2 linked regions of the Macaca mulatta genome follow. Each later gene encodes a partner of the first gene's protein in a complex. Links are inferred from orthologs where the notes say so. Each region holds a gene or a part of one and is shown on either strand. Other genes may lie near its edges. The genes, in order: HNRNPH2 and SRSF1.

What was found.
Region 2: HNRNPH2 (region 1) and SRSF1 share a complex: the UniProt entries of both Homo sapiens proteins name them as parts of the ribonucleoprotein complex. The link is inferred for Macaca mulatta from reciprocal best matches to the Homo sapiens genes HNRNPH2 and SRSF1.

Annotation. Positions count from the first base shown.
Region 1 is NC_133426.1:108,302,186-108,306,129, forward strand, and holds the end of HNRNPH2 (heterogeneous nuclear ribonucleoprotein H2), read left to right. Parts: intron 1-1,045; exon of another isoform or gene 1,046-1,066; 5' UTR 1,067-1,119; coding exon 1,120-2,469; 3' UTR 2,470-3,286; downstream 3,287-3,944. UniProt on the Homo sapiens protein: This protein is a component of the heterogeneous nuclear ribonucleoprotein (hnRNP) complexes which provide the substrate for the processing events that pre-mRNAs undergo before becoming functional, translatable mRNAs in the cytoplasm. Binds poly(RG).
Region 2 is NC_133421.1:51,982,258-51,986,573, reverse strand, and holds the start of SRSF1 (serine/arginine-rich splicing factor 1), read right to left. Parts: upstream 3,014-4,316; 5' UTR 2,811-3,013; coding exon 2,617-2,810; intron 2,209-2,616; coding exon 2,024-2,208; intron 1,657-2,023; coding exon 1,484-1,656; intron 1,301-1,483; exon of another isoform or gene 1,284-1,300; coding exon 1,089-1,283; 3' UTR 724-1,088; coding exon of another isoform or gene 685-723; 3' UTR 1-684. UniProt on the Homo sapiens protein: Plays a role in preventing exon skipping, ensuring the accuracy of splicing and regulating alternative splicing.

The sequences.
Region 1 (3,944 bases):
GATCCCTGGGCAGGTTAGTCTGTTTCATTTAACCATTTGACCTCCAACCAATAGAACTGATCAACTAGTCCCTCCTTGATACTATGCTTATACCCCACCCAGAGGGTCATGGCAAGTATAATGTATATTTGCATTTACATCTTTAATAATGATATTTGGTGCTCCTGTAGGATCATAAGCCCTTTCTGGGCTTATTGATTCTTGTATGCCAGAGCTGAGTATTGGACATGGCAACTAAAAAATATTTCTAAAATGAATGTGTGAATTCCCAATAATGTCTTTTTTTCATTTATCTCTGAAGCCCAAATATTTCCCTGATTTTATTGATTTGCATACATTTGTATATAAGGAGATTATATAAAGAACGTATATAACCTGTGTTTTGTTTGTGTTTTAATGTTTTAATTGTTGTTTAATCTTTTGATCTAGTGAAGTTTTTTATGTGTGTATATTCAGATATAGCTATCTTTTATTTGTTGACCTATCCCACTGATTTGTTGATGTTATTTTATTTATTTATTTATTTTTTGAGACTTAGTTTCGCTCTGGTGGCCCATGCTGGAGTGCAGTGGCGTGATCTCGGCTCACCTCCACCTCCTGGGTACATAAAAGTGGTTTTCCTGCCTCAGCCTCCCAAGTAGCTGGGATTACAGGCGCCTGCCACCACGCCCAGCCAATTTTTTGTATTTTTAGTAGAGACAGGGTTTCACCATGTTGGCCAGGCTGGTCTCTGACCTCTAGGTGGTACACCCGCCTGACCTCAGGTGGTACTACTGACCTCAGGTGGTACACCCGCCTCAGCCTCCCAAAGTGCTGGGATTACAGGCGTGAGCCACCACACCCGGCCGATTGCTATTAATTTTTAATGGTATCCAACATGTAATAGGCATTGAATAAATAACTTAAAAAATGAATGAGTTAAAAATTTGGTGAACTCTTTGTTTATACAGACATCTTACAGAAAAGCTGTCAGCATAGTTGAATTTTCTATTAATAGTTTGCTTTTTTATCTTACTATATCACGGGCATTTTTCCATGACAGTAGTCTTCTAATTTTTTTTTTCAGCTACACTAAAATTGCATTGAGCCAAACTTGCCACCAAGAGCCCAACAGTCACCATGATGCTGAGCACGGAAGGCAGGGAGGGGTTCGTGGTGAAGGTCAGGGGCCTACCCTGGTCCTGCTCAGCCGATGAAGTGATGCGCTTCTTCTCTGATTGCAAGATCCAAAATGGCACATCAGGTATTCGTTTCATCTACACCAGAGAAGGCAGACCAAGTGGTGAAGCATTTGTTGAACTTGAATCTGAAGAGGAAGTGAAATTGGCTTTGAAGAAGGACAGAGAAACCATGGGACACAGATACGTTGAAGTATTCAAGTCTAACAGTGTTGAAATGGATTGGGTGTTGAAGCATACAGGTCCGAATAGCCCTGATACTGCCAACGATGGCTTCGTCCGGCTTAGAGGACTCCCATTTGGCTGTAGCAAGGAAGAGATTGTTCAGTTCTTTTCAGGGTTGGAAATTGTGCCAAATGGGATGACACTGCCAGTGGACTTTCAGGGGCGAAGCACAGGGGAAGCCTTTGTGCAGTTTGCTTCGCAGGAGATAGCTGAGAAGGCCTTAAAGAAACACAAGGAAAGAATAGGGCACAGGTACATTGAGATCTTCAAGAGTAGCCGAGCTGAAGTTCGAACCCACTATGATCCCCCTCGAAAGCTCATGGCTATGCAGCGGCCAGGTCCCTATGATAGGCCGGGGGCTGGCAGAGGGTATAATAGCATTGGCAGAGGAGCTGGGTTTGAAAGGATGAGGCGTGGTGCCTACGGTGGAGGGTATGGAGGCTATGATGACTATGGTGGCTATAATGATGGATATGGCTTTGGGTCTGATAGATTTGGAAGAGACCTCAATTACTGTTTTTCAGGAATGTCTGATCATAGATATGGAGATGGTGGGTCCAGTTTCCAGAGCACCACAGGGCACTGTGTACACATGAGGGGGTTACCTTACAGAGCCACTGAGAATGATATTTATAATTTCTTCTCACCTCTTAATCCCATGAGAGTACATATTGAAATTGGACCCGATGGCAGAGTTACTGGTGAGGCAGATGTTGAATTTGCTACTCATGAAGATGCTGTGGCAGCTATGGCAAAAGACAAAGCTAATATGCAACATAGATATGTGGAGCTCTTCTTAAATTCTACTGCAGGAACAAGTGGGGGTGCTTACGATCACAGCTATGTAGAACTTTTTTTGAATTCTACAGCAGGGGCAAGTGGTGGGGCTTATGGTAGCCAAATGATGGGAGGGATGGGCTTATCCAACCAGTCTAGTTATGGAGGTCCTGCTAGCCAGCAGCTGAGTGGTGGTTATGGAGGTGGTTATGGTGGTCAGAGCAGTATGAGTGGATATGACCAAGTTCTGCAGGAAAATTCCAGTGACTATCAGTCAAACCTTGCTTAGGTAGAGAAGGAGCACCAAACAGCTACTCCATATATAAAAGCTGTACATTTGTGGGAGTTGAATAGAATGGGAGGGATGTCTAGTATATCCAGTATGATTGGTAAATGGGAAATATAATTGATTCTGATCACTCTTGGTCAGCTTCTCTTTCTTTATCTTTCTTTCTCCTTTTTTAAGAAAACAAGAGTTAAGTTTAACAGTTTTGCATTACAGGCTTGTGATTCATGCTTACTGTAAAGTGGAAGTTGAGATTATTTTAAAACTTCAAGCTCAGTAATTTTGAACACTGAAACATTCATCTAGGACATAATAACAAAGTTCAGTATTGACCATAACTGTTAAAACAATTTTTAGCTTTCCTCAAGTTAGTTATGTTGTAGGAGTGTACCTAAGCAGTAAGCGTATTTAGGTTAATGCAGTTTCACTTATGTTAAATGTTGCTCTTATACCACAAATACATTGAAAACTTCGGATGCATGTTGAGAAACATGCTTTTCTGTAAAACTCAAATATAGGAGCTGTGTCTACGATTCAAAGTGAAAACATTTGGCATGTTTGTTAATTCTAGCTTTTTGGTTTAATATCCTGTAAGGCACGTGAGTGTACACTTTTTTTTTTTTTTTTTTTTTTTTTTTGAAGGATACGGGACAATTTTAAGATGTAATACCAATACTTTAGAAGTTTGGTCGTGTTGTTTGTATGAAATTCTGAGGCTTTGGTTTAAATCTTTCCTTGTATTGTGATTTCCATTTAGATGTATTGTACTAAGTGAAACTTGTTAAATAAATCTTCCTTTTAAAAACTGGAAAAAATCTTGTGCTGATTGATTTTTATTATGTTCTGTCATATGGGCACGCTGATTGACTTTATAATTCCCTCAAAATTAAAATTTTTAATTTTAAAATTATAAACAATATATTTAGCATCTTTATATGTTCATTGTTGCATATATCATTAATTATTTCTAAGATATATCCCTAGAAATGGGATTGCTGAGTCAAAGATACACTCATTTTTAAGGCTTCTGATTTGTGTTACCAGCAAGATTCTGGTACTTTATCTTTTTACCTGGAGTGTGTGCTTTATTTTCCCCCTTATGCCCTCCTTATTGATGCACATTATTCTTTGTGATCTTTGCCAGTCTGTTAGTTGAGAAATGATATCTCATTGCAATTTTAATTTGTATTTTTTTGATTAATATTAAAGTTGAACATTTTCTTCTTTTTTAAAAAAACTTACCATGTCTACAGGACTATTGAGCTACTTTTGGAGCCACTTACCAAGATAGTATTCTCTAAAATCCAAAGAAGTGAAAGCGAATAAATAATCCTTTGTATTTCATCACAAACTAGAAGGCACCTTTGTATGTTAAAAAAGAAGTAGGCTTACAATTATGTGTCAAAAACAAAACATAAAAAAGAAGCAGGCTTATGTTAAGGAAATAAATTGTCTCCTCCATGAATTCATTAGGAGAT
Region 2 (4,316 bases), on another chromosome or scaffold:
CCTAAGTCTAAAACTATATCTAATGCTCCCATTTGCAATTTAATTTGTAAATTAAAGTCTTTTAAACATATGAATCAATTATGAATATTAGTTTAAAGGGGAAGGTGAGACTTAAAAGTATTCCCAACTAGATTATCTACACCAATACATTGGAACTCTATATTTTGCTTTCATTTTGTCTTAAAAAAATGAAATAGCAACGCTCTATCAGTCACACAGAGGACATGCAGATTTAGCAGTATTGATATTATACTCTATCTTGTTGGATTTAAAGACACCCTGTACCCACATGTACACCAACAGCAGGTCACACATTAACAGTTGTAACTAAGCACTGTGACAAATTAGCCAGTTCTTCCCACATTAGTCCCTATTAAAACAAAAATGGGGGGAAGGGAGCAAAATAAGTTGCTACAAAATGGGCAATATAATTTTGCCACAATTGCCAAGGTTTAAAGAGCAAAGCAATTGTAGCTAAAGATAACTGAATAAAATGTTTGCAAGTGTTTTAAGGAAAACGTATATAATCATTTTTAACCCCTGCCTTTTAGTATAAGGTCAATACTGCCAATTTCATCTGTGACAATAGCACTTGGAGTCATACCATTGCCTCCATTATTGATCTGATCCTCCTCAATCCTCCTTTTGACAATCCTAAAATGATTGAAATGTGCTCCACAATCCTTAATCCAAAGCATTCTTAATCCATCTCTTCAGATATGTCTACAGAAAGACACATGAAAAGCAAGATAAACATAAGAACTTCCCCAGGTAAGATAACCACAAACACCCCCAACATCCCAGTTCACACAAACCAGGGCAGAATAGACATTTACACAATATCACAGTCTGAAGAGTATGGAGTTAACTAAATTTAAACAATCCTGTCTATGACATCACTTAAAATACAATTTATCGAAGACACGAGGGGAATGTAGATGTTAGGAGCAAGGGGATATTACAAGAATGCAATTCAACACTTTAGCCCATTCTGAACAAAACAGTTTGAATTAAAAAATGAAAAGATTGTACTGAATAAAGGAAAACTGTATACAACATGGGTTCTACAAAAAGTGTCACCAATCATCTTATGTACGAGAGCGAGATCTGCTATGACGGGGAGAATAGCGTGGTGATCCTCTGCTTCTCCTTGGGGAGTAACTGCGACTCCTGCTGTTGCTTCTGCTACGGCTTCTGCTACGACTACGGCTTCGAGATCGAGATCTTCCATAACTTGGACTTCTGGGCCCATCAACTTTAACCCGGATGTAGGCAGTTTCTCCCTATTGGATAGACAGAACTTTCCATTGAAAGATCTAAGCTTTCATCTATCTTCAGGCATGCTGAATGCATACAATGCAACTACAACCAGAAATCTGGCAATTTACTTGGACACCCTTGCCTGAATTCTTACCTTCAAATTCCACTGTTAAGACCACTGTATCCAATTCTGGTCAAAGAAAAGAATAAGCGTATAACCTACCTCATGAGATCTAAACTTAGTGTTATCCAGTTTTCGAACTGCATAGGTCATATCTTCTTTCCGTACAAACTCCACGACACCAGTGCCATCTCGGTAAACATCAGCATAACATACATCACCTGCTTCACGCATGTGATCCTTTAAATCCTGCCAACTTCCACTTGGAGGCAGTCCTGAAAAAGTGATTTTTTTTCTTAGTATCAATTATCTTAAATTTCACGTTAAGCTGGTAAGGTACATTAGAACAAAGAGTACTTTAAAATACTTAATAGGTGTACTTAAGTGATACCAGGTAAAGAGCTGGTAAGATTCTGGGATCCAGAGTCCAAAATTATTTGTAACGGATCTTCGTATCTAGTACCGCAACCTAATTTGGTAAATCACCACAGCAGCAATCCTCGTTTATTAAATTCACCCAAAAACTAAAGCAATTTAAGACCTAGCATGAAAAATTTGCAATTGTTAAACCGATCATGCAAGACAAAAATTTTAGGTAGCTTCCGTCCCTTCACATCAATCCACACAACCAAGTACACTCACCAGAGACAACCACTCTGTTTTCAGACCGCCTGGATGGGGGGCCATAGCGACCTCGGGGAGCTCCGCCACCTCCACCCCCGCCGCCGCCTCGGCCTGTTCCACGGCCGCTTCGAGGAAACTCCACCCGCAGACGGTACCCATCGTAATCATAGCCGTCGCGACCATACACCGCGTCTTCCGCGTCTCTGCGGGATCGCAGAAAGTAAAAGGCATGAGAAAGACCAGGAGGAGAAGCTCGCTCAGTCGGGAACCCCCCGCACATGCGCACCCAACGTGGAAGAGCCCACATGCGCCGCATAATAGGAATGGCCCCTCCCCCACCCAGAAACACGCCAGGCTCCCAACCACTACACCAGCCCTCAGCGCCTCAGTTTCCCGCTCCAGCCTGCGAATGGGCTCCGGGGACGTCCAAGGCGAGGCGCCAGAGAAGCCACACCAACTCAGCTCCTTACTCGACTCCTGCATGGGCGATACAGTCTCGCCCCAACCTCTCTAAGAGCCCCCGCTTCCCCGTTCTCTATGTTAAGGCCTTGGAGCCTTCCCCGACTACTCGGACCTATTTCCTCAAGGCTGCAAGCCCCATGCCGCCTCACCGCGGGTCCTCGAACTCAACGAAGGCGAAGGGCGGTCCCCCGCGGCGATTCTTGAGGTCGATGTCGCGGATAGCGCCGTATTTGTAGAACACGTCCTCAATGTCCTTGGTTCGGATGTCTGGAGGTAAGTTACCCACGTAGATGCGGCAATCGTTGTTCCCTGCGGGGCCACGAATCACACCACCTCCCGACATGGCGGTGACGAAAAGCGCGGACTCGAGAACAGGCCTTCCCACCAAGCCTAGCGCACCGCAGAGCGAGCCCGCAGCGGCACCACGTCTCCCGCGGCCCCTCCAAAATGGCGCCTTTATCAGCTCGGCGCACGGATATGGGGGGGAGACAGAGGAAGAGAAGCGGAAGGAAACAGCGATTCGATCCCAACACGCACGCGCGGGAGCGCAACGGGTGCTGCGAGGGATACGCGCAACGCACGCGCACGCACGCGCGACGTCACCCTCCGCACGAAGGGGGAAAAAAAGTCCCCCGCGTTCCCCGCTTGGGGTGGTTTGCGAATAGAGTGAGCAGCCGTTTGGTAAAAGTTAAATAAAGAACTCTCGTTAAAGGAGCTAGTCATCCAGGTCGAGTCTTGAAGGATAGTCAATTTCCCCAGGAATGAGGAGCTTTGAAAGCAACTCGGCGCCTTCAAAGGACTTGGTGAAACCTAGCCTAAAGCCTTGTCCCACCATGCTCTGCGGCGATAACGGCCTTTGGCGGGAAAGAGACTCGGAGGCGGGGCTAAAGGGGGAGGGCTCGGGCCGTTGCTCCGGAAACCCGGGTATCTTCGTAGAGTGCGTCTAGTCCAGAGCTGAGTTGCCGGTGACTGAATAGAGAGCTGGGGCGTTGGTTTGTCTTCCCGCCCCTGCTGCGAACAAGCTGTGGCTGCTTAGACAGATGTGTCTAATTTAGCGAAACCGGTTTAGATTCCTTAATCCTTTTCATTAAGAACCATTCCACCTTCTCGTCAGAACTTTGCATAGCTCAGTTCAGCACTCTTTGTGCTAGTCGCAGTGGGCCCGTACCCCGACCTTTCAACGTGGTACCCGCCAACCAGAAGGGGTAACAGTACTGCTTCTGGTACCCACACCTCTTTATCTCTTGTTAATCGCCTATCCGTGGGACTAGCGCAGATTGCCTGCAGAATGAATTGTTTCTGTTGTTTCCTTTTAAAGAACGAGAAGGAAGAAAAGGTGCGTGTGTGCAGTCCTTTTTTCAAAAGTTTCCTCTAAAAGTTACTGAAATTGAAAATACCGGTCCTCCCAGGTAATAAAATGGACCGAAATGGATGAGAGCCGTGTCCACTAGAGACCGCGGTTGCTATTCAGGACTGTGATCTTATTTGCCTGCGACATTGGGAGATAACATTTTACATTTTTTTTCGACGTCTGCAATCTGGATTTTTATGTGAAATCCTGGGATTTTTAAACGTCGCTAATGAATTCAAATTAAAATTAGGCTGGGCGCGGTGGCTCACGCCAGCACTTTGGGAGGTAGAGGCGGCAGATCACTTGAGGTCAGGAGTTCGAGACCAGCCTGGCCAACATGGTGAAATCCCGTCTCTACTGAAAAAAAAAAAATTAGCCGGGCTTGGTGGCGGGCGCCTGTAATCCAGCCTACTCGGGAGGCTGAGGCAGGAGAATCGCTAGAACCCTGGAGGTGGAGGTTGCAGTGAGCCGAGATCGCGCCATTGCGCTGCAGCCTGG